Rhinolophus ferrumequinum: one gene and its partners. The protein of the gene in region 4 interacts with the protein of the main gene of each other region in a biochemical or structural test. Links are inferred from orthologs where the notes say so. Each region holds a gene or a part of one and is shown on either strand. Other genes may lie near its edges. The genes, in order: AHR, CCND2, ABL1 and RB1.

Region 1 (8,118 bases), on a different chromosome or scaffold from region 4:
TGGTGAAGTACCACTAAAACTTCACATTAATAAAACTTCAAAAATACAAAACTATATCTATCCAAAGTTATTATCAGTAGAGAAAAACAGATTCTACTTAATTCAACAGTGCACTTTTCACCTATCTTCATGAGACAATTATTACTAAACAAATTAACCAAAACGCTATCATCTCCAAAGAAAATAAAATAAGAACACGGTTTAAGAAAAAAAACTGTTTTTTGTTTTGGGTAGAGTGTTTAAGTACAGAACTACATTTTAAGGAAAGTTATAATACAATCTATTCCTAACGTTATCTTTGAAAATGTCTTCTTGAAGGTAGGAAGGAACACGGATCAGATGCAAGGTTGCTTCAGATCCTTTAATTTCCTTTTATTACTCCCAGACAAAGGAAACATTTGCTGAGTGTCTACTATATACAACATACTTTAGTGGGATTAAATTTAACATATTTAAGATGTATTTCCTACTAATGAAGGTAATTCTCAATATTAGACTTGCCACTAGAGGGAGTTTATCTTGTTTAATTAATTCAATTGAAGATTGACTGGAAGAGCTTCAGGTTAAAATTATGTAACCGACTTGATTCCAAAATTTTATAGAACTATATATTTAGATGGCTGTCTTATCAACAGCTCTATAATTATGCTACAACATATTCTCTCTTTAAGTAAAATAAAATAGCTTTCACTTAAGAGGTCAAAGTTAAATCTCAAAAGCATTTTCAGTGCAAAGATGTGTTTTTCTGACAATGTTGGCATTATTTTAGACCCCATTAGCTACAAATAGTAATTTAACTTAAAAATATCCATGTTAAACTTAATATTAGATTTTATGGCCGCATTCCTAAAATGAACTTTAATTAACTGCATTATAAAGCTAACCGTTTTTCACTCAGGCAAAACTAATTTGTAAACAATTTCATGTGATTCTGTAAATGCCAGCACTAGGCTTTTCTTATGGAGCAATGAAGTGACATTTTAAGGCATTTATATGATTAGAAGCAATGCATGGTGCACAATAAATATCTGATAAACATCTATACTAAATAAAATAAAATAGGGGTAATGTGGAAAATGCTTTAGCAACACTGTATTACAAGAGATTATTACATGCAACTTTATTAAAGTCTTAGGAAATATATTAAAATATTAAGATAAAAGATACAGCTTACATAAAAATAAAAGGAAAATGCAGTATGTGTAAAGGGAAGATCTTTAATAAAATGTTATCTATAAGTCAAAAATGTTAAACTTTATAAAAATGAATACAAAAATAAGGTATATGACTTTTTTTTTTAAGTCATCTAAGCCTTTTTGTAACACACGACAAAAAAAATCAGTAACTTAAAAATCCACTAGGGAGATCTCCAAGTTTTCTGACTATATATAAAAAAAGTCCATGATGTCTCTATTATAAATTATGGTAAGTGTGCTACTGTATTAATAAATACATAGAATAGGCATTTGCAATGCCTCTCAACTTTAGCCATCAAGGACAAAGCCAAATTAGACAAATCACTCTACTTTTGCTAGTTTGTAAATCAATGTCCCAGAACTGCCAAGACAAAAAATTGCTGACTCGGCAGTATTCCTGTCAGCCACTCTGCAGCATAAGACTTCTAAATTTTAATCAGTCGATTTTATAGATGAATATCCTCTGTTAACGCCAAGTCTAGACCTGAATGCTCTTCAATATGCTCTTCATATTGAAATTCTAAAAGAAAGTTAAAACTCCAGAATAATTAAACTCTTACACCAGTTGGCGGATTTAAATATAAAGCTTAAACTACTTTTCTGGTTTGGATTCGTGGTCTAAGTTAAGTTTTAGGCAAAATGCACACTTCTAGTTTGCTCTGAGTAAATCTGTAATGTGTTCTTAAAATTGTTTATGAAAATTTGAAAAACGTGAAGTAACTCAGAGATAACAAGGAATAAACACATGAATACAGCCAACTCACAAAAGTAAATCTGTCTCAACCAGGATTTATTGTTCTGAAAAAAATTATTTTAAAGTATTTGCTATCTCACACAAATATCCCACCAAGGCAAACAAAAAAATCTGTCTGGAATCGCTCCATTAGAACTGACAAAACTTTGAAGTAGGGGGAAAAGGGAATTAGAGAAAGATATCAAGAATGAAAACGTCTGTTTCACTAAGTCCAGTTCCAAATCTGTTTTGTACTGTACAGACCCTAAAACCACCGCAAAAGCGGGAACTCCCCAAAAAGATAGCTGAAAAATCGAATCCCCCCACTGGACCTTGCCCACCAGACTCACTCACACCTGCTACCATCTCTATACAGTTTACCGATACGGCCATCTGGAGCCCTACAAAATCACTGCCAAATAAGTAAACAAAAGTGCAACGAAATGCCAATTACACCTGACCAAGAAATACCTTCAGAAGCACTTGAGCTCCCTTCTTGCAGTGGCACACGGTCAGCTCTTTAAAACACCTCGCTTTACCAGGAATGAGAATTATGACCGTCCTCTAACCGTAGAGGTTATTAAACATGGAAGGGGATTTCAAGAGGGGTTTATGCTAAATAAGCCACCAGCCCCACAGGGCAGACCAGAGCTGTCAACAAATTAGGACCACAGAAAACAGCTGCAAATGGCCGGGGGTGTGAGAGGGTTCGTGCGCGCCGGGGACGGGGGTCATTTTTTAACATACAATAAAAAATGGGGGAAAGAAATCTAAGGCCTGGGTCGCTCGACCCGCCCCCAAATCTCGATTCCACCGCTCGTGTCAGGAATGGACCTAATCCCCAGACCTCGGGGATTTGGGGGCGGGGTGGGGCCGCCTCTCGCCCCCGCGCGCCTGAGCGCCCAGCCCCCGCACCGAGGGCGAGCTCCGGACACTCACGTTTTCTGCACGGGCTTCCGCCGCTTGCGACTGGCGTAGGTGATGTTGGCGCCGTTGCCGTTCATGGTGCCCAACCGCGGGCGGCTCCTCCCCGGGAGCGGGCGCAGACGGCCGGGGCTCCGGGACCCGCCTGTGGCTGGGACGGCCGCGGCGGCCGGCGCCCGGCTCCACGAAGCCGCGCCCGCCTCACCTGCGTCCTCCCGGAGCGGCGGGAAGACACCGCGCCCTCTCAGCCTCGGCTCCCGCAGCCCCCGCGTCCAGGTGCGCCGCCGGGCCTGGCTCCTGGCGGGCGGCGGGCGGAGACCGGTGAGAGACGCAGCGCAGGTGCCGTCTACAGCCGCGGAGGCGGCGCGGCGCTGCCCCGCAGGTGAGGCGGGCCGGGCCGAGGAGGAGCCTGGGTCGCCTGTTTGGAATGCCGGCCCGGATCGCGCACGGTGGCGCCGCGCCCCGTGACCGTCGTCGCGGGTCCTTGGGTAAGGGAGGCGCCGCCGCGCTGCTCCCGGGGCTTCCCCAATCCTGGGTGCTTCCCGCCTGTGGAGCTCGAGCTCTGGACGCCACTCCCGGTGCCACCAGCTTCCGCTCGGCTATGCAGCTGCGCCTGGTCTGAGCCGGTGGTCCCGGGCACGCGCCCGGGACAGAATGTCAAGTGGACCTTCCCGGCGTGTCCTCCTATCGCTGAGCGCACCAGCTTAATTGCAGAAGTGCCCCCGACCTCTCTCTCTAGAGCCGCCCAGCCCCTTCTAGCCCCGCCCCACCCAACTTGGCCCCGCCCTTCACCCCCTCCCTTGAGGGCCCCACCTTCTCAGCACGTAGTGACGTAAGACGTAACGATGTCTCTCCGTAGCCATCTTCTTGAGGTCAAGGGGAGGATTCTGTGGCCACATTTCGAGCCTGGAAAGAAATGTGACAACAAATTACATATAGCCAAGTTCTTCATAGCTATACTGTCTAAAGGATAGACATGGCAAATAGTGAGCTTAACTTCACCTATATGAGAGACAGTGACTCAGCTAACTTTTGGCTAGGATTTACAGTAAACTGGCAGATAACCTGTGGGCCTCAATTTTCCTAGAGGGGAAGGCTTCAGAAGCCCACATTTGAGTTGGAATTTGAAAGCTGGCAGTTTCCTTGGCTTTTTCTTTTTCTTTTTTTCGTTTTTTGTTTTTTTGGTGTTTTTTTTTTTTTTTTTTGGTCTGTGTACTAGACAATATCTTTTTCCTAGCCAGAATAACTTTGTTTCAATTAGGTTGAAAAGAAGGAAGCAAGGAAGAAGGGAAGCATGAGGCATTGGAACATAATAAGTAGTGTGGTATGGTTGGACAGAGGAGCTAGAAGTGCAGTTCAGGAATTTAGGATCAAATCATAAAGCCTTGGTAAAGAGTCTAAATTTTATTCTGTAGGCAATGAAAGCCTTTTAGATACTTACTAGGAGATTGACTTTCTGGTGTCTTGGAAAAGTCACCCTGGGAGGAAAGTGCAAACCAGATTGATTACAAGGAGATCAAGATTTGATGCGGTGAGAGTAGTTAGGAGCTTGTTGAAATAATCCAGTGCAAGTCCACGGAAGTGGCAGTGGAATGGAGAAAAGAGAGAAAATACAGATGATAGAAAAGGATAAGGAAATAGGGGAAGAGAGAGTAATCTCAAATTTTTCCAGGATTTTTGACTCTTTCTGTGTGGTTAACTGTATATTTGTGTGTCAGGAGCAGAAGGGCATCCAGATCAAGATATCTGGGTGACATCTCATACCACATCCATTCCTACATTTTAAAATGTCTTCAAGCCGTTTCCACCTGGTCAGTTTGTTACTGCAAATTCAGTGCATCAATAAATTAACTCATCATTTTCTTTAGCTGAAACTTTTTCATTGGTGTTACCATTTTCCCGATCGACCTATGAATCATTTTCAATTCTGCTACCACTTATATATAAATACCCCAGCAAAAACTATTAAATTTTGTTATTTGCAATATCCCTAATTCATTTACCTCCACCTTATTCTTCAATAATACCAGCTCAAATGCCATACCATTCAGGATTCCTCACCTGATATCCCCTCTACACATTAATTCAATCAATAGATGTTTGCGGGGGAACTCCAATGTGCCAGGAATTGTGGGGAGACCATGGTGAACAAATCAGAAATTTACCATGCTCTTGGGGAATACTGTAATGGAGAAGTACATGATTCAGTATGATTTTCTAGTAGATAAATCTGACCTACTCATTGAAGCAAAGGTAGGCTTTCCCTTAAAAAATGATGATTGAGCTGAGGTCTGAAGGATAAAGTAGGCTATCGTAGGAGAAAGGAAGGGAAAGCAAGAACATTCCAAGCCAATGAAATAGTACAAGCAACATCCCTTTAATGAGAAGGAGGGCAGGTATGAAGGATTAAAACAAGTTCAGTATGATCAGCAGAGACAGGCACAAATGATCAAATTTGTGTTTCAAAAATATCACCATATCTGCAGGGTGTAGAACAAATTAAAGAGGGAGCAACAGAGTGGAATGGATAAAAGTAACACTCCTCAGGAAACCATTTGCGGTAGCCCAACCAAGAGATGACAATTATTGATACTAGGATGGGTGATTGTGGAAATGGAGAAAACTGAATAGATTCCATAGATATTTGGGAGGTCTTCGAAAATGGAGTGTATTTATGACAGTGAGGGAAGAGGACATGTCAAAAACATAATAATAGTTTTCTGGATTATGTATCTAGCTATGTGACAATGGCATGTACTAGTGGGAAATTAACTTAGCTTTGGATCTCATGTTTGAGGTACCTTTGAGACATCGAAGAGAAGATATTAAGTAGACCATAGAATATACAGGTTTGTAACAAAGATGTATAAGCTTGAGACAAATTCAGAAGTCATTGGCATTTAGGTGCTGAGAGCATGGAAATTGTAGGGTGTGAATATATACTGGAAAAGAAGTATGGAACCCCAAAGAACTTCAATATGTACTATTAGCTGGATAGAAGAAGTTTATGGTCCTGTAAAACTGATTGTAAAGATTTGCTAGAATGGTAACAGAAGAGTAAGGGGACTATTGTGTCATGGAGGAAAAGGTAGAGAAATGTCAGGAGTGGCTAACAGTATTGAATGCTGTTGAGAGGTTCAAATAAGATGAGAACTGAAAATGTCTTTTTTGGCTTCTCAACGTGGGGTCATTGGTGACTTCTGTGAATACTATGTTGGTGGACTAATGGACCTGCAAGTCTGACTGAAGTGGGTACAGAATTGAATTGAAGATGAAATGACATTGGCAAACACAATTTCTTTTTTGAAAATTTGGGCTGTGAAAGAGTGAGACCTAGGATGGTAGCTAGGGGGAGTAAAGAGTTAAACTAGATTTTTTTTTTTTTTTTTTTTTTTTTTTTAATGCGTGATGCTTAAATAGTTGAGGGAGACTGACTGTAAGAAAGACAAGGAGCAGAAAAGGAACCATAGATATTAAAAACAGGAGGGAATAAGTGCCAAAGCAGAAATAGAGAATTAGGATTATAGTAGATTAGATAATAGCAGAAATAGACTCTCTAGTGCTTTACTCTTCAAAGTGGTCCACAGCTTCTCATGGGAGTGATAAGAAATGCAGAATCTCTGGGTGTCCTTACTGAGTCATAGTCTAAATTTAACAGGGTCTCCTAGGTGATTCAAATGTACCTAAAGTTTGCGGAGAACTCCTCTACAAAAGCTGGGGAAGAGGAGAATGGTGGGTGAGATGTCGTAGGCTAGTAATTTAGGATCAGAAAGATAAAGGAGATGTGATGAGGAGGGTGTTACAACATGAGCTACAAAGGAATAGTGTGTTTTGTGGTTGATGGGTTGATGGCTTTTGTTTTAATTTTACAGGACCATAAAGTAAAAGGGTTCTGGGAAGTGGCAACAGGGAACTAGGTGGACATCAACCCTGTATCATGGATGTGTGATGAGAGAAAATAATTAGGCACCATTTGGGAGAACTCTTAGGAAAATGATAGCCTCAGAGAGAGCCAGATTTTAGTATGTATGAAGTCTCATCAATCAACCTTATAATAATTCAGTGTTGTTGCGGTTTTTTTTTAAGTCCACTTTTTTTTTTATTCAAGTTTATTGGAGTGACAATTGTTTGTAAAGTTACATAATTTCAGGTGTACAATTCTGTAATACATCATCTATACATCACATTGTGTGTTCACCACTTCAGAGTCAGTTCTCCTTCCATCACCATATATTTGATACTGTTTACCATCACCTACCACGCCACTCCCCCCTTACCCTCTGGTAACCACTAAATTATTCTCAGTGTCTATGAGTTTTTGTTTCTTCATTTGTTTGTCTTGTTCCTTTGTTGTTTTCAGTTTTATATGTCACATATCAGTGAAATCATATGGTTCTCAACTTCTTCTGTCTGATTTATTTCACTTAGAATAATAATCTCAAGATCCATCCATGTTGTCACAAATGGTACTATTTCATCTTTTCTGATGGCAGAATAGTATTCTATTGTGTATATACCACATCTTCTTTATCCAGTCATCTATCGAAGGACACTTTGGTTGGTTCCATGTCTTGGCCACTGTAATTAAATCCACCTTTTTAAAGGTTTTTGGTTATTTGGTACAATCATTCTCTTATTTTGTTCTACTTACATACCCTTATATTCTGTTTGACTTTAAGATTATTTTCATTATCCAGAAATCATATAATGCTTTGTTATATTCCATTCTTAGTTAAGTAATGAATCTTTGTATAACCAAGATTAAAATAGAATGTTGATAAGATTTTTAGAATTCATTTTATTCTAATAGTGACACCATACACTTCCCTTAACATTTTTGCTTAGTGTGTCAATAAAATTAATCGTTGTAGTATAGTGACTTGCCACTTTCTAGAAACTATCACTCTCTACTCCTAATATCAGCATTATAGAACATAGTTTTCGAGGTGTGATTCGTGGCCATCGCTAAATTTTTAAATTTTTTATTAGCAATTTTTATGTAGTAACATGAGTTTTTTTCCTTATAACAATTAATTTGCCTATAAAAGTTTAAGAATATTTGACTTGCCTTATCAAAAGCAATGTTATCCTTTTATTTAGTTGAGGTGAGATTGCTTTCTGAGGTTTCAGATGCCGAAGTATGTCTATGGGTTCCTTATTCCTGCTAAATATTATGAAAAAAAGAAATACATTTTAGCAATGCTGTTATAAATAGCTGTTCTAGAATAAAGAAATACAATCAGAATGAATGCTATACCTATTCTG
Region 2 (8,262 bases), on a different chromosome or scaffold from region 4:
TGAGTATAAACCACTCGTCTTGTACCATTATTAAAGGAAGCAGATCTCCCAGAAGAAAGCACCTTTCTGGGCCTCTCGGAGCAAACCAGAAGCAGCCGAAATCTGGCAGCGGTTCAAAGGTGAAGTCATTCATGCCCCGCTACATTCTAGGCAATTCTCCCCCGTCCTTGCACATGTCTGCCACTAGATGGCAGCACAGCTCCAGAAAGGAAGGCCTTTCACAAAGAGCTCGGTCCTACTAGCAGCCAGTCAGCCCTGCGGACTCAGTGGAGGCCTTGTCAGTAAAGAGGAGGAAAGGACGGTAAGCGGGGGGGGGGGCCCCTTTTCCGAACAGTGCAGAGAAAGGTATGCAGACCACTGAAGGTGGGCCGCTGAGCCGCTCTACCATTCCACTGCTGCAACATGGACGTCCTAAGTGTGAAGCTGCAGGGAAAAAGAGTTAGATTGGGTGGGGAAAGGGTTTGCTGTCATGAAACCAGTCAAGAGAGGACCCCTGTGGTTGTACAGAGGTCACAGCCCCACTGGAGGCAGGAGTCCAAGCCTCAGCTTCCTCCAATGAGGGCCACATTTTGACTTTGTGCAAAAGTCAGTGAGCTGATCTTTAGTGAATGGCTATCTACGTGCAGGTATCTTTAGACTTTATAAATATGTAAGTCACTACCTTTGACCTCCGGGTTCTTAGGGGACACACCACAACACATTCCTATCATGTGAACACATTCCTGTCATGTGGAAAGTGGAACTGTTTTCTCAGAATTCAGTGATGGAAAATTTGCAATTTTATTAAAATGTTATCTCCATGAAGAGCTTATTCATTCGTGGATGTAGCCTCAGTCAGTACTTCTTAGCATAGTGTCTGGCACACAGTAGGAACACACACAAAAAACCTCAGTTTAAAAGAGATATCTCCCACAAATGTGAAAATTCCAGTGGTGGGTAATTTTGCATCCCAAGAATTTGTTTGGAGAGCAGTGGGTAAAAGCAGAAGAGGCCAGGAGACAGCGTGAAGAGAGACAAGATGAAAGGCAGAAAGGGGACAGTCGTTACCAGCAGCTCCTGAGGCTTGATGGAGTTGTCGGTGTAAATGCACAATTTCTCTGCAGTCAGAGGGATGGTCTCCTTGAGTTTGGAGGCCAGGAACATGCAGACAGCACCCAGGAGCTGCAGGTGGGTCTTGGGAGTCGGAACCCCAGCCAAGAAGCGGTCCAGGTAATTCATGGCCAAAGGGAAGACCTCCTCCTCACACTTCTGTTCCTCACAGACCTACAATGTGGGAAAGAGTTGGGGGGGGGGGAGGGAGAGAAAATAGTATCAGGAAAAGAGAAAAAAGTGAAAAAGCACAATCTATGGAAATAAAAATATTTAATTTTTATAGGGAGGGGGAGGGGAGTAGAATATGTGGTAAGAATAAAGATGAGGAAATTGGGGTAAATCTAAATAGCTTCTCTGTTTAGTGGTATTTATTCCCCAGGAAACTAAAATAAGAGGTGAATTAAAGATCCAAAACCGAGAGGCAAAGAAATGCGCAGTAGCAGCGCAGCCCCACGCCGCTCCCTTTGCCTACTCATTTTTTCGCTCACTCTAACTCACTCACTCTCTTTTTTGGATTTCGTCATCTTTTCAAAAAATCAATAAAAATATTCTGGAAGCTCCGAGGGTCTCCTTCTTGGCCCCATCCGGACCCCCAGACTCTGCTCTATCATTCCCGACAATTAGAAAAAATGTCCGGGGGGGTCCCTGCGGCCCAGGCGCCGCTATTGGGGGGGTGGGTGGGGAGAGGTGGAGAAGGGAGGGGGAGGGCGCAGAGGAGGAAGAGCGCCGCAGCCGCGGCGGCTGGAGTCGGAGCAAGGGGGGACGGTTTCAAAAAATAATTAAAAATCGAGGAAATATCCTAGAAAAGCCCTTTTGGCGTGAAAACCCCAAGGAGGATCCAGGCTTCCCGAAACGGAGGTTTCGGGTGCCAGAAAGGTCTGTATCTTGACCCCTGGGGCTTTAGATCCCGAGGGGAAACTTGGAGGGGTGAGCGCCGCGGCGGGAGTGTCCGGCTGCGGCCCACAAGGGCAGAAAACTAGGGGACGTGGTGACGAGCTGAGGGAAAGATGAGGACCCGGGAGCCGCCGGAGAGAGGCACGGGGGCTCTGATCTCTCCTTTAGGGGTGCCCCGATATTCCCCCTACACACACCTCCTCCCCCCCTTCCTACCCCACCCAAATCTCCGCACCGAGGAAACTGGAAAGCCAAACTGTAAGTAACCATTGTGAAGTGGGGGTTGGGGGAGAGGGCACTATTAGAAGTGGGGTGGCCGAGATAATGGGGTGCGAAGGGGAGCGGGCGACGTTTTCCAGCCTTTCCAACCAGAGTTTTGCAAAGCAACATGGCGAAACCGCGGCAGGTCCAGAGCTGTGCATACGTGGGCACACGGCTTGCTCTCGGCAAAGATTTGGAGCAAGGGTAAAGAAGTATTTCTTTTGGGTTCTCCTAAAACACACATTTCTTCAATGTGACTTCCGGGGCTCCTGAATTCCCCGTTTCTCTCCTCCTCCCTCCTCCTTCCCCCTCCCCCCTTAGTGCCAACGCGGAGTCGCGACCACATGCGGGAACCTGAGGCTAGGACGAATTTGTTCTGGCTTTTGGGGAGGCTGCCTTTTACTTCTGGGTACCGATTTCACGGTCCTACTCCCTTCTTCACTGCACAGAAAGCAACCCGGGCTTCGCAGAGGGCAGGTCGGGATGGGGGTGGGAAGAAGAGGCAGCCACATGCGGGCACACGCGCTCGGGATGCTCCCCCACCCCCGCCCCAGGACAGCCTCGTTTCTCCCAGATTTTCCTCTTCCCTCCTCTTCCCCTCCCCCAGTTAATCTCGCATCCTGCAAAGAACAGAAAAGCAGCCACGCGTCTCGCCAAAGAGCGCGAGGTAACCTCGCACACGGGAGCCGGGAGGCGGGCGCGGAGGCTGTCCTCCCTCAGTTTTAGGGTCCCTACGTGAGTGGGGGCCGAGAATGCGGGTGGGGACAGACCGAGCGTCAGTCTGCTGACCTACCTCCAGCATCCAGGTAGCCACCATCCTGCGCATGTAGGGCTGGATGTCCTTCTGCACGCATTTGAAGTAGGAGCACTGGGGAAGGTAGCGCTCCTCGATGGTGAGCAAGTTCTGCAAAACGCGGTCGTCGTAGAGCAGGTTGGCGTCCGGCACGGCCCTGCGGACCCGGTCCACCTCGCAGCACAGCAGCTCCATGGCCAGCCGGGTGCCCACTCGGTCCCTGCTCTCTCCGGAATGGAAAAGTTTTTTGGGAGGAAGGAGGAGAGAGAGTTCCCCTTACCTCCTTCCTTTGGCTAATAGGGGTTTTCGGGGGGGGGGGGAAGTTTAGGGCAGAGAGAGGAGCTGGGGGAGAAGAGAGGAAAGGGATGGGCGGTGGGAGAGGAGAGCCTCGGGGGCTGCCGACTCTGCCTGCCCTCCCCTCCAAACTTGTCTCGTTCTCCCCAGCTCCCTCTCCTCTTCTGCTCTCCGAGGCAGTGACGCAAACTGGCTGGGCAGTTCTCCTCCCTCTCGCCCCGCTCCCTTCTCTGGTTCCTCCTCCCCCTTTCCTCCCCTCCTGTGCCTCCCCTCCTTTCAATCTCTCCCTCCCTCCCTCCTTTCCCCTCTTGTTATTAAGGAGAACAGCAGCTGGCCCGACCTAACTTCAAACGCGGTCCCCCGCCCCCCCACCCTTCTCCTTAGCTCTCCGAGGCCCTCTCCCTCCATCCAGCCCCGCATGCCAGGGGCCCCTGATAGGGGAACCCACAAAAAACCCACCGATTCCTACTTATTCCCTCTAATTTCGCACTCTGTAATGTATCGTGCCAAAATACGACCCTCCAACTTTGGCTTCTTCAAAACCCATCCTATCACTCCTGCCCACGTATTGAAGATTCAGGAATGATGGGTAGAATACTTGATGGGGTGGGCTCAGACAATTTAGAAATAGATCCCTTCAGTGAAAAACAAGGAGGGCGATTTTAGAAAATTGCAACCTCGCATACCCAGATATAAAGGTTGTGTTCCTGATATTTATGTTCCTGATCATTTCAAAGCTGTTTCAAAAGCCCAATCAAAGGAACCAGAACAATGTCCCCCCTACACCGCCCCCCCGCTCCGCAGAGTGTGTGGCGAGGAAAGGGAGGGCGATAGGAGGGAGGGGGCGGCTTCTCCGACGTGGTAGAATGTGACCCTGAGCAGAACCGTCCTGTACTTGGGGGCGCTACGGCGCCATTGGGAGACAAGGCGAGGCGCCCTGAGCTGCAGCGGCCGGGGGCAGGGCTGCCAGCGGTTCCTTCGCGGCCAGCGGCCACGCAGGAAAAACCCGCTTCCTCGCCCCTGCATCTGCTGACAAGCCGCCCGAGGTGTCTGCCGCGAGCGTGGCCACTGATACAGCTTTCTAGGAAATAGCCCTGGAGGGGGAGGGGAGGGGGGCGAAGGAGGGATTAGGTTTGGCTCCCCCTCACCCCCCCTGCGCAAACAACACCACTCCTTCCTTTACCCCAAGGCCCCTGAATTCCACCCCCCGGTCCTTCGCCTGCATCCTCGCCGACCCCTCTGGGTTCACGCCTCACTTGCCAGCCAGGCTTTCTCCCCCGGAGCGGGACTGCGGTGGAGACGCTGCCCGCGCAGTTGGCTATGACACGTGCTCAAATGCATCCTCGGGTCAAGGCTGCTTTCACAGGGGATATGGTGGCGTTTCCTTACCTCCTTCCTCCCGCCACCCCCCCACCCTGCCTTTCAGAATTATTTCACTTTGGGAGGAAGGGGAGTGAGCCCAGAACCCCCGCGTGTTGGTGGAGCTGACACGTGCAGTGAGCATGGCGTGGGTCCGGGCTCTGGACACACCGAGGTCCGCAGAGTGCCTCCTTCTCCGAAAAAGGGGGCCCGAGAGCAAGCGGGGCGGGGGAGGCGCGGGCTGAGTGAGCTGCTCACTCTGTTCCCTTGAAAGGAGGGGGGAGGTGGAATAGACAAGGCGGGCAGTGAATAAACCAGAGGTGCTAGCGATTAACTCAGGCCCGGGGGCCAGCCCCTTTAAACGAGGGTGGGGCGGAAGGGGTGGGGGGAGGGGATATCGCTTTAAAAGGGTGAGTAAGAGTTTGGGGCGCCGTCTCCCCTCCCTCTATTTGCATAGCCAATGGCTCTGGGGCTCCTGCTACTGCGCGCTGATTGTTACCGGGCAGATTACTTTTTTTTCTTTTCTTTTTTTTTCTGGTTTTTTTTTTTTGTTGGGTTTTTTTTTTTTTTTTTTTTTTTTTTTTTTTCAGTTGGTAGTGTTCCCCGCTACATCAAAAGGAAGCCTAGGCTGGGCGGAGGGAGAACAGGGACCCGCGGGCGAGGCTGGGGAGCGGCCGGGCGCCTCCGACCTTATCAATAGCCGCGGGAATTAGTGTCCAATCTCCTGTATAGAAAGGGGAGGGAAGGGGCGGGCGAGGAAAATGTCTAATTGCTGTAGAAGCCATTAGCTTTCGGGAAGGAAAAAAGCTCACTGAAAAACCCAAGTTGCAAACTCAAAATGAAACACTCGGCGATGACAAACTCAAAAGTGATGACACTCCAGCTGAGTACGGTGTTCCTCGGAATAGAGTCGGTCCCTGACAATCACCTATTGATTTTACTCAGACTTCCCGACTCAAGCTTTTGAGTCACTGCGGGTAAATACATTGTTACATTTTAAGACCCCCATAAAAGAATCACTCAAACTTCACCTCAGCCACCTTTGAATGGATCAAAGCAAGCTGCTGGGGGGTTAGGGGGGAGAGGTGTTTTTAAAGTATAAATCTACCCCGACAGGCAAGGACAGAGCCGGCGAGGGCTTCCAGCCTCTTGACATCACTTGATAACTAATCGAGCGCGGTCTCCTCTCCACCTCCCTGCAGGGAAAGCATCCCCAGCCCTGGGTCTCCTCGAGGGGAGAGGAGGGCGGGGAAGAGGCGGGTGGTCGTCCTCGGGGCCTCGCCCACCCTGGGAAGAAAGCCTGGGTGGCGAACGCTCAAGTCCCTGGCCCTCTAGCCCCTTCCACTCCTACCCTTACCCCCGTCAGGCTTCGCGGAGAAATTCCGGCGGGTTGGGGGGCAGAGGTGCCGGCGTAGGGGAGGGGAGCGGGCGGATGTCCCTGTCTCAATTTACCCAGATCCGCGAGTTCGGACGCTTCCCGCGTGGCAGGCTGGCCTTTGCAAGTTCCCCCGTTCACTTCCCCTTCCTATTACGGAATGCTCCCGAACATCAACTTCGCCACGAATCGGTCCCCCAGTCGTGTTTCAGTCTCCAACACGCGGGGTGGGGAGCGAAAGGGTGCGGAGGTTGGCAGGAATGTCTCTGGGAGATTTGGACTGGGAACCGAGTTTTCCCTTTCGGTCGCCACTCCGACTGTGTGTTAAATCCTTAATTTTGCTGGGTAAAAAGCACTCCCGGAGCCACGCGGGTAAACGCACGTTGCCTTCTGGGCAAAAGTGCGCGTTTTCTTTGAGAGTAGACTTAGGTATGGAGAAAAACCAAGAAGAGCCTGTGCTCTGGCTTTTAAGTCAAAACTGGTCATTGTTGGGGGGGGGGGGAGAAGGGAGAAAGAAGACTGTTAGTTCTTTCTTATCCCCTTTGCACCCCTCAAGGCAAAAAAAACACCCCACACTATCCTGTCCTTTGTAGGATCAGTGATAAACTTGAGCGAACGCAAGTTTTATTGGACTTTTATTCCCTCCTTTGCCGGCTCCCCACCCCTACTCCCCGCGTTCTGGAGTTTCGGTTGGAAAGTGTACAAAACCCTGTAGGTGCAGGGTGCAGCCGGGTGTTGTGTGTTTATAGGTACATTTCTGCAAGAACCTGCAACGCTAAGCATACATACTCCCAAGCTCACCTGGCGGATGCCGGCCAGCCAGGTGATCGCGCCGTCGGCTCCAAACCTTGGAGCCGCGCGAGTTCGAGCCCGGCTCCCTCCGCGTCCCAGCACTCAGGCCGTGTTGGGGGAGGGGAGTGAGTTTAGGCTCAGGAATGGGGGCCATTGCCCTCCCCCTACATCCTCCAAAGCGTAGAACTATGTATATGTTTCTCCACTGAGGGATGAATGGTCAGACAACCAAAACCGAAAACCCGACAGTTACTTGAAAGTGGATGTCTAAGTGTCCCAGTCTTGGCTGCGAGCTCCCGGAATATCAGAAAGGAACAGAAGGAGGTACAGAAAGAGGAATTGGGGGTCAATAGGAAGGGAATAAGAGCAAACTAGAAAAATGTGCGAAAGGAAAAGGAAAGATCGGCAACTGGAGAACACAGGGAACGGGAGTGGGTAGGAACAAGCCGACAGGAGTCTCCCAGAAGCCTGGGCATTGCGATTCCAGGTGTGAATAAGCTTCCGGGGCCCTCTCGCCGCCGCCCCCCCCGCCCGTCCTGGGGCTCCAGCCGGGGGCACAGGCCGGCCTGGCCTGCGCATTCAGACTGCCCCTGCGGCGCGCTGCAGCTTGCGCCGGGGCTGTGTGCCTGGGGCGGCAGATGCGATAGGCGTGGGTTAGGAAGAACTGCGCCTGCCGTCTGTTCACCCACCTAGCATCTTACGCCCCTCCCTTGGAAAAAAAAAAACGTAAAAAGACCCGAACTTCCCCCTCTTCCTGTCTGATTCAGCTGCAGGACACGCCTCACGAGGCCGAAAATAGCTCTGGAAATGCATTAGCTTTATAAAAGTGAATTTTCCAATATGATTTGGGGCGGGGGGCGTCTGGCTCCCGGCGTCGGCTGGGCCCTGCCCCCCCGGGAGGAAAAGGAACGGGCCTTGTGGGTCCCTCGCCCTCCCCCAGGCGCCCGGGGAGGGGGCCGCTGGGCGGCTGAATCGCGCCTCCGCTCGGGGAGCCACCACGCGGCTTTTTCGCGGAATTTTGACGTCATCCACACGTGGGGGAAGGGGCTGGGAGAGCTAGAGGAAGCGGCGGGGGAGGGGGCCGGCGGGCGGGGAGCGACGCAGGGCGGCGGCTGCGTGTCCGGCCCCGCGCGGTGGGCGCACAAGCCGCGGACCCGGCAGTGTCGCTGGCTCAGCCGGCCCGCGGGCTGGAGGAGGCTGCTGTGCTCGCTCGCCCGCGAGTCGAAGTGGTGGCCCTGCCCCCGACCTTCCCGGCCCCCGCCATCTTTCACCACCCCCCCCCCCCCCGCAAAGAGTTTATTTTATTTTACTTTTTACTTTAAAATCGGGAGCAGCTCTTAACTCCGGAAAAGGCTTATTTCTTTGGGTTGTGGTCCAGTTCCGCTCGATAGCTACCTCAGCC
Region 3 (7,647 bases), on a different chromosome or scaffold from region 4:
CCAGAGCTCTCCAGAAAGTCTGTACTAATTTTTACTATCTAAGCCTCTGTGAGCACAACTATTAGGTTGGTGCAAAAGTAATCGCGGTTTTTGCAGTTATCTTTAACCTTTTTTTTAAATTTTATTGGGGAAGGGGAACAGGACTTTATTGAGGAACAGTGTGTACTTCCAGCATTTTTTTCCAAGTCAAGTTGTTGTCCTTTCAATCTTAGTTGTGGAGGGCGTAGCTCAGCTCCAAGTCCAGTACCATCCCTTGCGGGAGTCGAACCGGCAACCTTGTGGTTGAGAGGATGCGCTCCAACCAAATGAGCCATCCGGGAGCTCAGGGCAGCTCAGCTCAAGGTGCTGTGTTCAATCTTAGTTGCAGGGGGCGGAGCCCACCATCCCTTGCAGGATTCAAGGAATTGAACTGGCAACCTTGTGGTTGAGAGCCCACTGGCCCATGTGGGAATCGAACTGGCAGCCTTCGGAGTTAGGAGCATGGAGCTCTAACTGCCTGAGCCACCCAGCCGGCCCCTCTTTAACCTTTTAAACCGCAATTACTTTTGCACCAACCTAATAGATAAAAATGTAAATAATTCACTTTATAAATGCTGAATTTGGGAAGCACCAGAACATAACACATTACCGTAACTGCCTGTCTAAAACCAATGCTAAAATACAACTAAAAGTTTTAAAGTTTTAAAATAAAATCCAAGTACCCAGATTATTTACATGAGGTGAATATTTTTCTGTAAGAAAGTCAAACCTCCACTGTCAAATGCCAGTTCACTGAACAGAGACCTTTGTTTATTGTAGTCAACCACTGTTAAGAGGTATTTGTGACTGAATTTCAAAGTATATGCCACTTGCACACATCTTACATTTGCTTATAGGGTGGGCGGGCTCAACCAATATTTTAACATAAAGCACCCAGTCTGAAAAATGTCAGGCTGCAACAATACAAAGGAAACCCTAATTAACTGGTTCACAGCCAGCTGGTATAGACGTTGGTCTAAGTTGGCCGTTAGCTTGAAAACTTCACACAGAATTACTGGAAGTGATAGTATAACACACACTGTCAGAATTCAAGTGCCAACTATGTTCATAAAAATGTCAGACGACCTTTCTTGCCCCAAATGTCATCTAAAACGGGGAGAGAGGAGGAAAGCTCCATCCATGGGGAAAGGAGTATCACTTGCATAAGGTAAAATATCTCCAGGTGGGGTACCCTCATTCATGAGGAATGCTGCCTCCCCACTTGATTTTTCCCACTTAGCTGCAAAGTGAGTGTTTTCAAATCTTTCTTATGATTGAAACGGTCAAGGATATTAGTGTCAACTAGGATCTCTGGCTCTTAAGCTTTAGGAGTTTAAGGACATGATAAAGGTTCTCTGTGCATAAAGTAGTAGAGGATCCATGCGCCTGGGGAAGAGCCCATGTCTCATGTTAGAACAGAATCACGCACTATGGATCCTGGGGAAATCACTTAAGTCCAACCCCTCAGGAAACTGGAGTCGTAAAATGGCTTGTCCAAGGTCAACAGTCAGAAGGGGAATCCGGCAAGAAATAAGCAATTCAAAAAAAATTGAATAAAGCCGTGCAAGTCACCAAGTAACTTTTTCTTCTACAAAGAAACTAAGAGATAACCACAGTAACAGAAGTTTTAAGAAGACCTGGAAGGAACCGACACAAGCGCTGTTGCTCAAGTTCCTTATGCATTCCTAGAGCTGAACACGGAAGGCAGAATGTGACCAGAAAGCTTGAAAAGCACTCACCATGTTCCACAAATACATTGCAGTGTGGACCCCCATGCCTTGCCGATTCCTTCTTCCCTGCTCCTTTGATAAAGTGCAGGGCAGGCAAACTTGGCCTTCTTTGGTCCCCAAGAACTTTTCCAGGCTGTTGCCCCATAAAGTAAGGATAGGCACCCCTTTCCAGAAGAGGGTTCAAGATCTTTCAGAATGATCAGCGAGCTTGGGAGGACAACTGTATATACGTTTATGTGGGATTTCACATTCACTGCATCTCCACAAGTCAGTAACTGAGGTCAATCCCAAAAAACACACCTTCCATAACCGAAGGAAGCAGTTTTTAGGCCGACATATGTAAACAGGAGTTCCGATTAGTTTTGGCAGTTTAGCAATTTGAAGTAATGTAATTGCAAAGCTACCCAAAAGTTTCTTGATTTTACGTGTCTTTTACTGGCTGAATAACAATTTCTTTCCTTTCGAGGAGAAAAACCTAAACAGGAATGTTCACAGGGGGTGCTGTGAAAGGGTCAGTAATACTCAAGTCATTTTGACTCCCCCACATAAAGAAAATGTTGATCGGCTTTGGATGCTTTTCCAGAACTTTTCCTGTGGAAGTCACCCACCCCCTACTTTCTTCATCTTCCGACAAATTCCTCCTGCGAACTAGCTGCCGCTCCTGCTCCTCTTAGCCTGCTCTCCGGAAAAGCACACGGGTCCACCCAGGCTTCAGCGCGAGTTTGCCCTCGACTCGGACGAAAAGGAATGCATGGCCAGCAACTTTTAAGTCCGCTTTTTAAAGGCCTGTGAAACGAGTCCAGACTTTTCCTTTGCATTAAAGTTTTGGCAGGGCTGAGAGCAGGGGGGCCGTAGGTGACATTGGGAGAAGTCAGGGCATTTGAGGTTCCCCGGAGCAACCTGGGGGGAAGGGGAGCCCACTTGACAGCAGGGAGGGGATTTGAATGGGGGGCTCCGAGGCCAAACTTGGGGCCGGGAGTCGGAGAGAGGGGCGGCTCGAAGGTAAGAGGGAGGCTGCCGGGGCGCGGCACGGTCGGCTGACTTTACTCGGGGGCGACGCTCCTTCACGCCTCAGGAAACCGGGTGTCCCAGGTCTGGGGGAAACAGAGACCACCCCCAGGGTCCCAGAGCCGGGGCGGGGCTGTAAGGGACGAAGGGCTCTCGCGGCTCCGAAAGCGGGAGGCGGCGGAGGGGGGAGGAGGAGCCCGGCCGCCTCAGCTGCCCCGAGCCCGGGGGTCTCTGCCCGAGACACCCCTCCCCGGCCCCGGACGTCGCCGCCGCCGCCAGGCAGTCACATCCCTCGAGCTTCGCCGCAGGACCCAGCCTCCCCCCGCAGCTAGGGGCCGTGGACAACGGAGGGGCTCCCTCAGCCGCAAGACCCGGGAACCGGCTCCGGCTCCAGCGCTGCTCAGGGACGAACACCGACCCCCGCGACGCCATGATGGATACGAGCCGCTCCACAACGAGGCCAGGCTCGCCCCTGGTCCCGCCCCCGGCGACGTCCGCAGCGCGCCTCGCGAAGACCGGGACCCTCCTGACACCGCTTTTAGGGACGCAGCCGGGCCTTCCCGCTTTAGTCTGCCTGCCCGCCAGAACCTGGCCCCAGACGACCTTTTAAATGTGGTCTTTCCGAGTGCAAGGTGAGTAGTGAGGCAGCACCCGCCTCCCCTGTACTACCATTGGTCCCCGAGAATCCGGGTCAGGTCTCTCGCCTGAGTCCTATTGGCTGATGAGGGCAGGAGGGCTACAGCTCCCAGCCAACTGCTTTCGGCGTAGCCCACAGGACATGCCGGGAGTTGTGGTCCGGTGGTGCGCGCCACTGTCCGTGAGCACCGAGACGTCTTACCCTCTGCTCCCGGTTCCTGAGCTTCGGTCCCGCCCTCCTGGGAGCCGGTGGACTCTCGCCGGCCTTGCATAGGGTTGGCCAATGTCTCCACTGCGCGGGTAAGACCCGCGAGGAGCCAAAGCAAGGGGAAAACTGCGGATTGGACTTTCTCAGAACCGGAGTTGGATTACTTCCTTGAGCCTCTTTTAAGGGAGAAAATTTAGCTCGCCGCTGGAGACCAAGGTATTTGGTGCCCACTCCCTGACCCCAAATTTCCACCTCTTCCCAAGAAGCATAAACGTTAGAACTAGCGAGAAATAAATGACTGGAAAGCATCCGACATATTGCTAAAGAATTCATTGTTTCTTTGGGGCATCAGGAGCCTCTCTTTAGAGAAACAGCATTTGTTAAAGCACCTCTCGGAGGCTGAGCCAGGCGCAATCATGGATTTTGAACGGAACCTTTACAATTAAACCTCATTTTACAGGTGTACATGTATTTACCTGAAAACATCCTGTGTTGGCCGGGAAAATGTCCATTGTTGTGTAAGGCCTACAGAGCTAGCCAATAACGCGGACACAAACCCACCCCCGTCAGAACCCATCTTCTGCTACTAAAATTCACCTTTTCCCTATTCCTAACTCTCCACGTCTCCCCAGAGCGGTGCACCTACCTGACAAGAATATACGAGTTTCTAAGGGGAATCACTCATCACTCATCACAATGCCTCCTCTACACCACGCAATTGTTTTTCATAAACTGTATTATCTCATTTAATCCTCACTGTAGCCCAATGAGGCATGTAATACCATCCTCCATTAGACAGCTGGGAAAACAGTCAGAAACTCGACCTAACTCAAGGTCACTTACCTAATATGTTAGAAAGTCAGGATTTGAGTCCAGATTGGTGTTGATCCAAAGCCCATGGATTTTCCACCATAACCATTCAGTATCAAATAACAGTCAGCGTAATGTTAGACAACTGATTTTTTCATAAGTTGCTAATGATATTAGGGGGAAACCACAGCCGTATTATAGATCTTGTACATTGTTATCTTGACTTAGGTATTTTGGATTGGAAAATGGTGTGATTTTATGTAGGCTTCAAGAAGAAATAGTCACCTGGAGGGAGTGAACGTGAGCACATGAAAATCTGTGCCCAGATTCAGAACTGGAATTTATATTCAGATGGTAACTGGTTGAACTTTGCTCTCACAAAAGTCTGGCCGATAAACTTGGTCCTGGCTTGTATATCACCCTGAAAACTTCAACGCCCTTGTTCCTTTATTTACCCATTGTCTTATCCTGATTTACCACCCTAATTTTTTTTTTTTTTGGAGACTTGCTTTTTTATTTTTATTCATGTTTTAATCATTTCCTGCTCATCTTCATTCTTCATTCTCTAGTTTAGATTAAAATCAGGCAATCCAGCCAGAAACTCTAATACACATTTCCTGAACAATTCATTCGACAAGCATTTATTGAGCTCGTGTTGCAAGCACTGTCCTAGGTGCTGGGACACAGTGGGGGGAGGGGACAGGACTCGTCCTCCCAGAGCACACATGGAGGGAGCAACAGGCAATAAGCAAAATGAGTAACAATCCAAAGTGTCAGTCTCAATGGTGGAAATAAAATTCCTAGACCTGTATCCCTTCTCAGTGAGTCTGACCCACTCTCTGCAGGATCATTTTGACACCTCTCTAGAACTGAAACCTAGTCCTCACTCACTCACAGGTGCTAATGGGATTAATCCAGTCACTTGAATTCTCCGAATGGCAGGTCATACATGCCAACTTTACAAGGTTATCATAAGGGTCAAATGAGATCTTGTTTGGTTTTCCACAATTAAAGATGAAATTATGCTTCCTGAAAGTCAGTCTGGAGGCCAGCTGCACTTATCTAAACACTTATCCCAAATCTCCATTTTCTACTTCCCCCATTTTCTAATTTTAGGTGAGCCCCCAAGCCCAGGCTCCATTTCTGGAGATGTACTATACGTTTTTACTCCCCATACAACACTGCAGAAGGATATTTTTAAGGACTTAAAACTAGAATCCAGAGCCCGACAAATGCCTGACAGAATTCAGTGTTTCCGAATGTTGAATTCCTCACGTTCATATATTCTTTTTATTAAAAGTAGTTTGTTTCAGTCTAATGTTATCCTCACTTTTATAAAGCAAAGCAATCAATCAAGTTGCTAAAGGGATTCAGTACCTGTGTGATCTGCCCTTATTCCATTCAGTTGATTCCATTTTTTCCCATCGGCTGGAATACTTAACAAGGGCGCCCTCTAGTGGGCCACAAAAAATAATCACTAAAAAGTGCTTACAGACCTTCCTTTGTTATTTCCCCTTAGTGGATACCATTCAGCAGATATTGAATGAACAGCATGGGTAAGCAGCTTGGGAAGAGAACAGGTGAGAAGGATAACTTTCCACAAATTTACACATGGCCCTGGTGAAAACCAAACCAAACCCGGGACCCAGGCATCCTTTTCCATTCCCTTCTCTCATGAGGCATACGGCCTGGCACGTGTTGTCAAAAATATGACAGGTGAGCAGGTCTAAAGTTGCAACACAGCCTACAGAATATTCAGTTGTCTGCAAAATCCTCGAAACAGCTGATACCTTTGGGACAGAAAAAGAATGAGGTAAAAAATTGTCTATTGAGTAACGTTAAAAATATACCATTTAACAAAAGCCATGCTGCATTTCAAAACTGTCAAATGCAGGGTTCAACGTTACTACTGAAACTGTCCTAAATTTTATAGCTGACACAGGTAGAATGGTTAGAGCCTCTGGCAGAATTTCTATCTGCTTAGCCCTCTACCAACTGTACTCTTCTCCCAAGAATTATAAAGAACACAGAACAGAAAGTAATGTTAACGCCACATTTATAAATATAAAAAAAATGGTTCACATGTGAAATAAAATTGCATTTCACAGAGTGCCATTAAAAAATGTTTTCCAAAATCGAAACCATTTTTTAGACGTCAAAAACCAATGCATAGGGGGGCAGCCAGATGGCTCAATTGGTTAGAGCGCAAGCTCTTAACAAGGTTGCCGGTTCAATTCCCGCATGGGATGGTGGGCTGCGTCCCCTGCAACTAACGACTGAAAACGGCAACTGGACTTGGAGCTGAGCTGCACCCTCCACAACTAGATTGAAGGACAACGACTTGGAGCTGATGGGCCCTGGAGAAACACACTGTTGTTTCCCAATATTCCCCAATAAAAAATTTAAAAAAAAAACAACAAAAAACCAATGCATACAAATTCTAGCATTCCCAGTGAGAACTTCAGCAGCTTGGTTTTATCTTTCAACCTGAAATTATTCAAAAGTTAATGCATTACTACTTCAATTATAGAACACTAGCTTTTCTTTTCCCATCTCCATTTTTCCTACTCTGATTTCATGTTTATCAGAGCACCCAAAACATTCATTCTATTACCAATAATTCAACTTCTTACAAATCACCCTCACAGGCAGGACAGATTAAGGCAGCCAGTGTAGGTATAGTTGTATCTATCCCGACAAGGGAGCATGCAATGGGAAATAAGACCCAGCCAAGCAGAAAGCTGCTTGGCTGCCTTTATTCTTCTATTTGACTGCTGGGTTACGTTTATCAACTATATTCTTCAATGTTGTATTTGTGTTGTAGAGGAGGTGGGAATGGAAGCCAAAACAGACAATTTGGGGGTCAGGGCGGCCATGTTTTGAGAGGGGCAATTTCACGGGGCCTTGTGCCTTGTGAATTGATGGAGAGTAAAAGATTTGCCGTATTATTCCAGGAAGGGAGTCCACTCAGCTGGAACCCTGCGAGCTTTTAAAGACCCCAAATAACCCTAATGCCGGGATCTGCAGGCAGGCCCAGGGGCCAGCAGTGCGATTCACCTCTCTCAGGCTTTGCCTTTGAACATAAGAAAGCAGGTCTGTGGGCTGGAGGCGACCTGACGTAGGTCCAGTGATGAGTCTCCCAGTCCCAGGGCTTTGCTGAGCCCCACACAGGACCACAAATCAGGGTCTTCACTTTCAAGAATTACTCCAGACAGGTACACACAGTCCTGTTCTTCA
Region 4 (7,743 bases):
AAACACATACACACATGCAAAAAAAAAAATGGAAGAAACACATCAAAATATCATCAAAGATCCTGAATGCTAAAAAAAACAATTATAAGACTTTCAGGAAATTTGAACACTCGCTGCATATTTGAAGACATTAAAAATTATTTTATAAGGCATGGCTTTTTAAAAAAATTCTTTATATCATAGTGAAGTATTTATGAATAAAATATATCTAAGATTGGCTTTGATGGGGGGCTTATATGAGGATTTTTTTTAAAAAAGTTATTGGAGGTAAATTGTCTCTGGGTAATAGATTACTAGATTTCCTTTTCTTCATATTTTTCTATTTTCCAAATTCTCTACAGTAATCCAAAATTATTTTTAAAGTGAGAAAAATGTATGCCAAAAATTTTAGGAAAATCCTTACCAATACTCCATCCACAGATGAAACTTTCTCCCAAGTTAACCAAGCTCTTTCTCTGACATGATCTGGTATCTTTAATTTCTGACATAATGCAGTAAAATCAGGCTCTTCAGTTTCTTCAAACTCAAGCCTACCAAATGAAAATATACATGTAATAAGCACATACTTACAAATAAAACTAATAGACATTTGTTTCAACGGCTTGCATATAATGGCACTATTCTGAAGGATAGCATTTCTAAATACTTTAGGATCTTATTTATCTTCGAAAAAAATTACAGTTAGAATTTAAACATGTTTATCTTTTTCATAGTCTTTCTAAAATAAGGATGCCATGCAGTGAAAAATGTTTGCTGGCCTGATCATAGCTTTGTGAAGTGAACACAAGAGCTAAAGCTGTTTGGTAAAATAAGGATAACAACAAGAGAAAAGCCCATTATTACAGAATCAATTCACTATCAGTGACTTTGCTAAAATACAGTCTACACTTATCAATGTTTCATATACATAATCTCTCCACCTACTAACATTTCTTACATGATGATTAACTTGACACAAATTATTGCTAAGTTCATTTCAGCCTTTGCTCTTAGATCTTCCTTAACCAAGATATGCAGTCAATAAACTCTTGTTGGCTAATTCCTTTTCATTCCTTTAATGTCTATCTGACATCTAATATTATGAGGAATAGCTCTAATAATTTTGTATACTAATAGTATGTATAATACTGTATAAGTAATGCATGTATAATAGCATGAGGAACAGCTAACAATTTGAGTTTTTACCATGACCCCACCAAAGCAGCTTAGATGCATAATTTTACTGAATCCCCACATTAGTCCTATTAGGTAACTACTCTTACTATCCTTGTTTTACAGGTAAGTACCAAATCAGAGAAGTTAAAGCACTCACCTGACATCACAGCCAGTAAGTAGGAAAACTTGATATAAACCCAATAGCCTAACTTCATAACCCACTCCCTTGAGCACTATTCCAGACTGCCAACCATCCTTCAAGACATAATTAACTTTGGTTATTTCAACAATGAAGATAACATGCAGTTACTGGTGAGGGTTTCCCTCCCAACTACATCATTCAGGCCAGAGATAATGTAAAAGAAGGATCTCAACTGTCAAGGTAGAAATGGACTCTGTCACTGGAAGTGCAGTTGGACTGGGCCTCGAATCCATCCCTAAGTAAATTTCTTGGCTGCAGACTGCCAGACAGTGGTGCTATCCTTGCTAAGTAGTTCATCTATAGAGTTCGATTGCCCATGCTAATGAAACCTTTTGTGTGTATGGATAATCAAAAGCAAACTGTATCTTGTATGGTTTTGACTTACAGGAGAATTTATGTTTCCATCATTTAAAGGTATGCAAAACAAGGTGTTGAAAAAACAATGAGTTTCCATCATTTAAAGGTATGCAAAACAAGGTGTTGAAAAGAATAAAAGAAACCAAGTCCGAGGTGATGGCCAGAACTTCAATATTTCTGGTTACCTTACAATAATCGAGACTGTTTCCAAAGGTCTGTGGATAACATGGAACACTTTAGTAAAGTAGACTTGACTGCTCTTTCCAAAGGGAAACTTTCAAGTATTGGATACATCACAGTGTAATCAGAAGCTAAATAATGTCTTCTCCCCCAGAACATCCCCAGAATTTTTTTTTTTTTACTGGTATGATGTTAACTGACCCATAAGACAGTCTTTTGAAATATATGAATTTTTAATAGCCTTTCACGGGCCCTTTCCAAAAGCCCATTCCAATCTTTTACAATTTGGCCTGAATTCTGTTAGTGTCTGGGGAGGTGAAAGAAATGGGACTTGGCAATGGACTAGAACAAGGGAGGGAGTGGTGAGGGACAGAAAGGAGTCCCAACTGCTTGCAATGGACATGTAGTCTGAAAGTAGGACCAGTGCCCCCAATAATGACAATTATACTCTTTCAATCTTAACTTCTTAACCACAGAGTACCACAATCAAGAAAAATAAGATGTTGCAATACAATAAATATCTTCCTGTCGTGTTCTACTGCAATATCATGGACTTTCTTAAATTTAAATTCCACTTAGGAAAAAAAGTTTCATGTATGCACAAGAACACAAATTTTGTAACCAAACAAAAAAAGGGCAGGGGGGAAACACCAGGACCTTTGCTGGCTCAAAGCCAAGAGGCAAAATGGAAGAAATAATGAGACATGCTGAAGCTGACTCACATTCAGTTTTAAGAAAAAAGAAAAAAAGTTTAGACCCTTTTAAGCACTTAGACTACATGTCTCACAAGACTTTTGCCCATACACCATTTCCTCTAAAGTTACGTTCCAGCAGTCACTACGATGGCTCTGTATCCCCAAGACCTCAAGGCATTATTATAGGAGAACCGTACAAAGCACCTCAGCCGAGTACCCTGGAGGCAAACTGACACTCAGGACCCTGAACTTCACGTCCAATGGCGTCTCTGCAGCAACGTCCGAGGCTTTTCTGGTTGGCCTTTCCCAGAACTGGGCTTGAGCTGGAGTTGCACGCCCAGAGGAAAACACTTCCAACTGTTGCATCCCAGGAGATCAAAACAGAAAGTCTAAGACCACCGGAGTACTACAAATCTCAACAGGAAAAAACTCTCCACCAGACACTATTTTTTTTTTTTTCCGTTTGATGGGGCCTCTAAATTACCCGCCGCCTGCGAGCCTCCCGTCCCGCGGAGGAAAGGCGGCACCTGTCACTTCGCTCAGGGACCCGAGCCCCACCCGCCCGACACCTGTCAAGCTGGAGCCGAGACCCCTCCCGGCTGCCCTCCCGTCGCTCCCGATCCCAGGCCCCTGTCACCCGCCTCCAGGCGCTCCGCGGCGGTGGGGGACAAGCAGGGACCCTCATTCCGCCGGGACCCTGCCCCCGGCGAAGACGCGCCCCCGCCAGACGCCGCGGCGCCCGCCGAGACGCATCCTCGGGGCGCCCTTCCCGCGTCGGCCGCCGCAGTGGCTCTCCTCGCTCACCTGGCCAGAGGCAGGTCCTCGGAGCCACTGTCCTGGTCGGGGTCCTCCTCAGGAGGGGGCGGCGGCGGCGCCGGGGGTGCGGCAGCGGACGCGGCGGCTGCTCTCCGGTGGGTTTTGGGTGGCATGACGCCCTGCCCGAGCAGGAGCCAGCGAGCGGCGAGGAGGACCCGGGACGGAGGACGCGCGCACGTCGGGTCACGCCCCGTCCTCTCCAGACTCCCGTTACAAAAATAATTTGAACGTCCCCTGAGAAAAACCGGACAAGCCCTCCCCCGCCCGGCAACCTAGCGCCGCGTCCAACCGCGGGAAAACGTCACTTCCGCCCGCGGCGTCACGTCCGCGAAGCTCGCGGGCCCGCCGGCGTCGGGAGGGAACCGGGGCGCCTGGTGCTGCGCTGGGTGGGGACGGGAGGTCGGGCGGGCTGGGCTGGGCGGGGAGTCCGGGCTTGCGTCCAGGAGCCTTCCCCGAAGTCGCCGCCTGAACCTGTCTCCCGCTTCCAGGCATGGGTGCGGGTAACGGGGCTTTGCACAGTCTGGTGGGGGAGATTGGGCCGCATCTCCATCTATGGGCGGATCAGGGGGTGCCGCTCAGGCCCTCCCGGGAATATCAGGCTACTGCACCCTCTACGAGCACCCCCCTCTCTTCCGTGGGCGGCACCCTCAGTCTCCACCGCACTCCTCCCGCCCAATCCGTTAAGCAAAGTTGGCCAAAACAAAAACATTTATGGAACATCTAATGGGAGCGAACTCTGCCAACCACTAGGAGATACGAATTGTAGGACAATTACGGGCCTTTTAGGGATCACGTGTAAGAAACGGAGGGGGACTGTGGGTAAATAACATTATAGTGTGATAAATGTGTTAATAGTGGTGTAAAAACAGGAGGCACCATCAAACTGTGTAAAGGACATCTTCAAAGGAGCAGTGGGAGTTGAGTAGAATTTTGCCAGGGAGACCTAACATTTAAGGAGGGCTTAGTATTGATAATGGGGAAAATATTAAATAGAATGAGCATTGCTGAGAGAGTCACGTAAAATAGTCAGGAGGCTATTAGGGATGTGGGACCCTACACATCTTGTGCTTCAGTTCTCAGAGCTGCGATTAAGTTGCTAAACCTGTTGCTAAACTCAGCAGAAGGCCCACCCATAAACATCCTGGAACAGTAACTGCTACATAGACATATATATAGACTTAGCTTCCTTCCTTCTCGGTTTCTTGCCTCCATCGTTTGCATATTGGAATTAACCAATCCCTGTAACCTACCCGACAATCCTCTATTTGCATGAAAGAATTACACTTTGTCGTTTTGCTTTTATAAACCCTATCTCTTTGTTCTGTCCAGAGCCCGTTTTGGGTTGCTACCTGAATCTGGGTCTTTCAGATTCGAATTCTTTTTTAAGACCCGCGAATAAACATTTAATTTGTTTTACAGCCTGAAATCTTTATTGGTTAACATTAGGTACCACGGTTGTGCTGGCCATAATTATCTTACTTAATACTCAAAAACAATCCTTTAAAACGAGTAGTGCTTAGTATTACTCCTCTTACCCAATGGGAAACAGGCTCAGAGAAGTTAATTTGCCCAATATTTCAGAGCTGATGGGTGACAGAGGATTTGAATCCAGGTTGATTTGACTCTACACATCCATTACATTGCATTGATAAAACACCAAAAAGAGAGAAGCAGCATGTGCAAACGCACAAAGACAACAAAGAAGAGCTTGCTGGAACTACCACCATCAAATAATGGCTTAGAAATTGTGTCTTTTCTGTCACTTGGTGTATACTTACTGTAATAGATTGTCTAGATTGAGTACATGTTTTTCTCTCTTTGGTAGATGGTGAGGATTGCCTCGCCAGAACTTCCCAGCTGAGGTGCTGTGAATAAGACACAGTGTGCTCTGATGTGAATCCTCTCATCCTTGGAACAGCTGAGCAGGGCTGAGGCAGCAGAAACCTTCAGGCAATTCACGGCTACAAGCCTCTTGGGTTTATTACAGAAGTGAGTAGATGGTAATGAATTCCCATTTTCTGTGTATACCATGATGTATGCCAATATTTAAAAGGGGTTGTCAGTCCTCAGCCTACTCAACAGCCAAAGTATATTTGTAAGCCAGCGATATCTGCCTAAGATCAGAAACCCTCACGTGGGGACCAAAAGTCTGTCAAGAGGTAGGATCCATGCCCAGCCCCATCTATATACAGCAACTCCCGTCAAAATGGTAATCCTGTTCACTTTGCCCAAGATTAGTGTAGGCAGGAGCTCAGGATGCAGTTGGTCTTTCCAAGGTCACAGATAGTCTGCTAAGAACCTGCTAAAATGAGATACAGGATGACACAGTTCTTCTACTCCTTAACTATTATGAGGATGCGACCCTTGCAATTGCTGCTGCCATTGTGACGTAAGACAAGCTGACTTGAGAATAAAGCAAAAATGTTAAGGATGGTACAGTAGAAATGTCAAAAAAAAAAAAAAAGTATGTCCTCAGTAACATAACTGAGCCTCTGATTTAACCAGAAAGCATCGTAAGTTACACTATTTCTCTAATGAGCCCCTTCAGGATGGAGACCAAATCATTGTAGCCCTAGTGCCTATCACGGTGTTGGACACACAGTAAATGCTTGTTTGCTAAAAGTGGGGAGGGCAGGAGAGCACAGGAAAGTTCTGGGGACTGGAGTAAATGCTCTTCATAGGCAGATAAGACTTGCTTTATTAATCTCAGTTTATCAACATCTGGTTTTACCACAATTATGATAAATCAAAAAGGGATTTCTCAATTTACAAAAGGGTGTGTATCTTTACCATGAATTAATTTCACTGTTCCCTACTACATTTAGAATCCTTACACACAGCTCAGGAGCAACTGAGTCAATCAAAATCCTTGCATCTCCACACAGCTTTCTGTTGCACTTCCAAAGAAGTAATACAAATTCTGCAGATTCTTAAAAGAAGCTTCCTCTGATCTTCCTCCATTTGCATAGTAGTTTTAAGATTGCCATTAAGACCAAATAAAGATCTGTCTTAGATGTTCTACCTGGAATGGAACTTTTCCAGCTTGAGGCCCCTTCAGTGATGTCAATAGTTTTTCCCCTCATCTAAAAATTCTTCCTTCGACTTTTTTTTCACTCATAAGGTACCACACTGTTTCCATTTCTTTACCATCTAGCTTGCTGAAAGGGTAGTCCCCATTCGTTCTCTACTTCCCCAAACGTCTCCCTTCTAGTGCCTGACTGTCTTCTACCACCACTACCAGCACTCTCCTGAAATCACTCTTTCAAAGGTCACCGATGTCCTAAATGTCAAGTCATGGCTTCTTTTTGGTCCTCAACGTACTTAACCTTTCTGGCAGTTAACACAGTTATCCACTTCCTCTTTCTGAAAATTTCCCTAGTCTTCCAAAAATCCATGGTCTGCTTGTTCTCCTCCTCCCTTCTGTTACTTACGACACTCCTCCACTACCGTGTTTCCCCGAAAGTAAGACCTAGCCAGACAATCAGCTCTAATGCATCTTTTGGAGCAAAAATTAATATAAGATGTGGTGTTGTGTTATGTTATGTTATGTTACGTTATTATAGACCCAGTCTTCCGTTAATATTTGCTCCAAAAGACTATTAGAACTGATTGTCCGGCTAGGTCTTATTTTCGGGGAAACACGGTAGTTTTCCTCCCAGTCTCTTCAGTGCAGGTTCCCTAGAGCAGCACTACTAGTGGTCCTTGGACCAGTGCCAGTTTGCAAACTGCTTGCATTTGGTCCAGAAGGAGATATGTGCAGAAATTAAGAGTAAATGCTTAGCAGCATTTATTGCAATTTGACATTTCATCACTATCCAAGCACATGATCATTGAACACCTCTCATTAGACAGAGTATAGAACAGTTCAGGTGTTCTGTGACTTGTGTGGTGAGTTGCGGGTAGCATGTCTGTGTCCTTGTCATGTGCTATAGTAAGGACCACTATAAGGAAAGAAAGTTTAAGGTTAGTCAACTGTAACCCAAAAGTGAGTGAAAACGTATCTATTTATTTACTCTTACAATTTTTATAGTCATTTTAATTTTTAATCAGCCTGTTTTTTTGAAATTCATAACTAAATAGGGGAGTAAAATTTGTGTCATTTGTTTTAATTTAACCCTAAATTATAAATGGCAAAGTAAACCTCACTGTCCTGTTTCGCCAAGAAAAAACATGTCAGTAGCAGGTTAGTAATAATAGTAGTAAACCAAATAATGACTGGAGAAGTGATCCCAAAGAATTGAAGACTTAAGTGTTTGTACTAATTTTACTCAGAAGTATAAACCTCCCGCGATTGACTTCATAGCCATAACTCATGGCAAAATGCTAAAACCATGAACT

The links.
Region 1: the proteins of RB1 (region 4) and AHR form a complex in vitro, tested with the Homo sapiens proteins (2 studies listed by BioGRID). The link is inferred for Rhinolophus ferrumequinum from reciprocal best matches to the Homo sapiens genes RB1 and AHR.
Region 2: of the proteins of RB1 (region 4) and CCND2, one has a biochemical effect on the other in vitro, tested with the Homo sapiens proteins (4 studies listed by BioGRID). The link is inferred for Rhinolophus ferrumequinum from reciprocal best matches to the Homo sapiens genes RB1 and CCND2.
Region 3: the proteins of RB1 (region 4) and ABL1 form a complex in vitro, tested with the Homo sapiens proteins (3 studies listed by BioGRID). The link is inferred for Rhinolophus ferrumequinum from reciprocal best matches to the Homo sapiens genes RB1 and ABL1.

What each region holds. Positions count from the first base shown.
Region 1 is NC_046303.1:21,922,550-21,930,667, forward strand, and holds the start of AHR (aryl hydrocarbon receptor), read right to left. Parts: upstream 3,592-8,118; 5' UTR 2,934-3,591; coding exon 2,869-2,933; intron 1-2,868. UniProt on the Homo sapiens protein: Ligand-activated transcription factor that enables cells to adapt to changing conditions by sensing compounds from the environment, diet, microbiome and cellular metabolism, and which plays important roles in development, immunity and cancer.
Region 2 is NC_046293.1:86,595,386-86,603,647, forward strand, and holds the start of CCND2 (G1/S-specific cyclin-D2), read right to left. Parts: upstream 3,509-8,262; 5' UTR 3,236-3,508; coding exon 3,041-3,235; intron 1,264-3,040; coding exon 1,048-1,263; intron 1-1,047. UniProt on the Homo sapiens protein: Regulatory component of the cyclin D2-CDK4 (DC) complex that phosphorylates and inhibits members of the retinoblastoma (RB) protein family including RB1 and regulates the cell-cycle during G(1)/S transition.
Region 3 is NC_046295.1:78,885,314-78,892,960, reverse strand, and holds the start of ABL1 (tyrosine-protein kinase ABL1), read right to left. Parts: upstream 3,171-7,647; 5' UTR 1,894-3,170; coding exon 1,758-1,893; intron 1-1,757. UniProt on the Homo sapiens protein: Non-receptor tyrosine-protein kinase that plays a role in many key processes linked to cell growth and survival such as cytoskeleton remodeling in response to extracellular stimuli, cell motility and adhesion, receptor endocytosis, autophagy, DNA damage response and apoptosis.
Region 4 is NC_046287.1:89,097,655-89,105,397, forward strand, and holds the start of RB1 (retinoblastoma-associated protein), read right to left. Parts: upstream 3,705-7,743; 5' UTR 3,519-3,704; coding exon 3,394-3,518; intron 531-3,393; coding exon 404-530; intron 1-403. UniProt on the Homo sapiens protein: Tumor suppressor that is a key regulator of the G1/S transition of the cell cycle. The hypophosphorylated form binds transcription regulators of the E2F family, preventing transcription of E2F-responsive genes.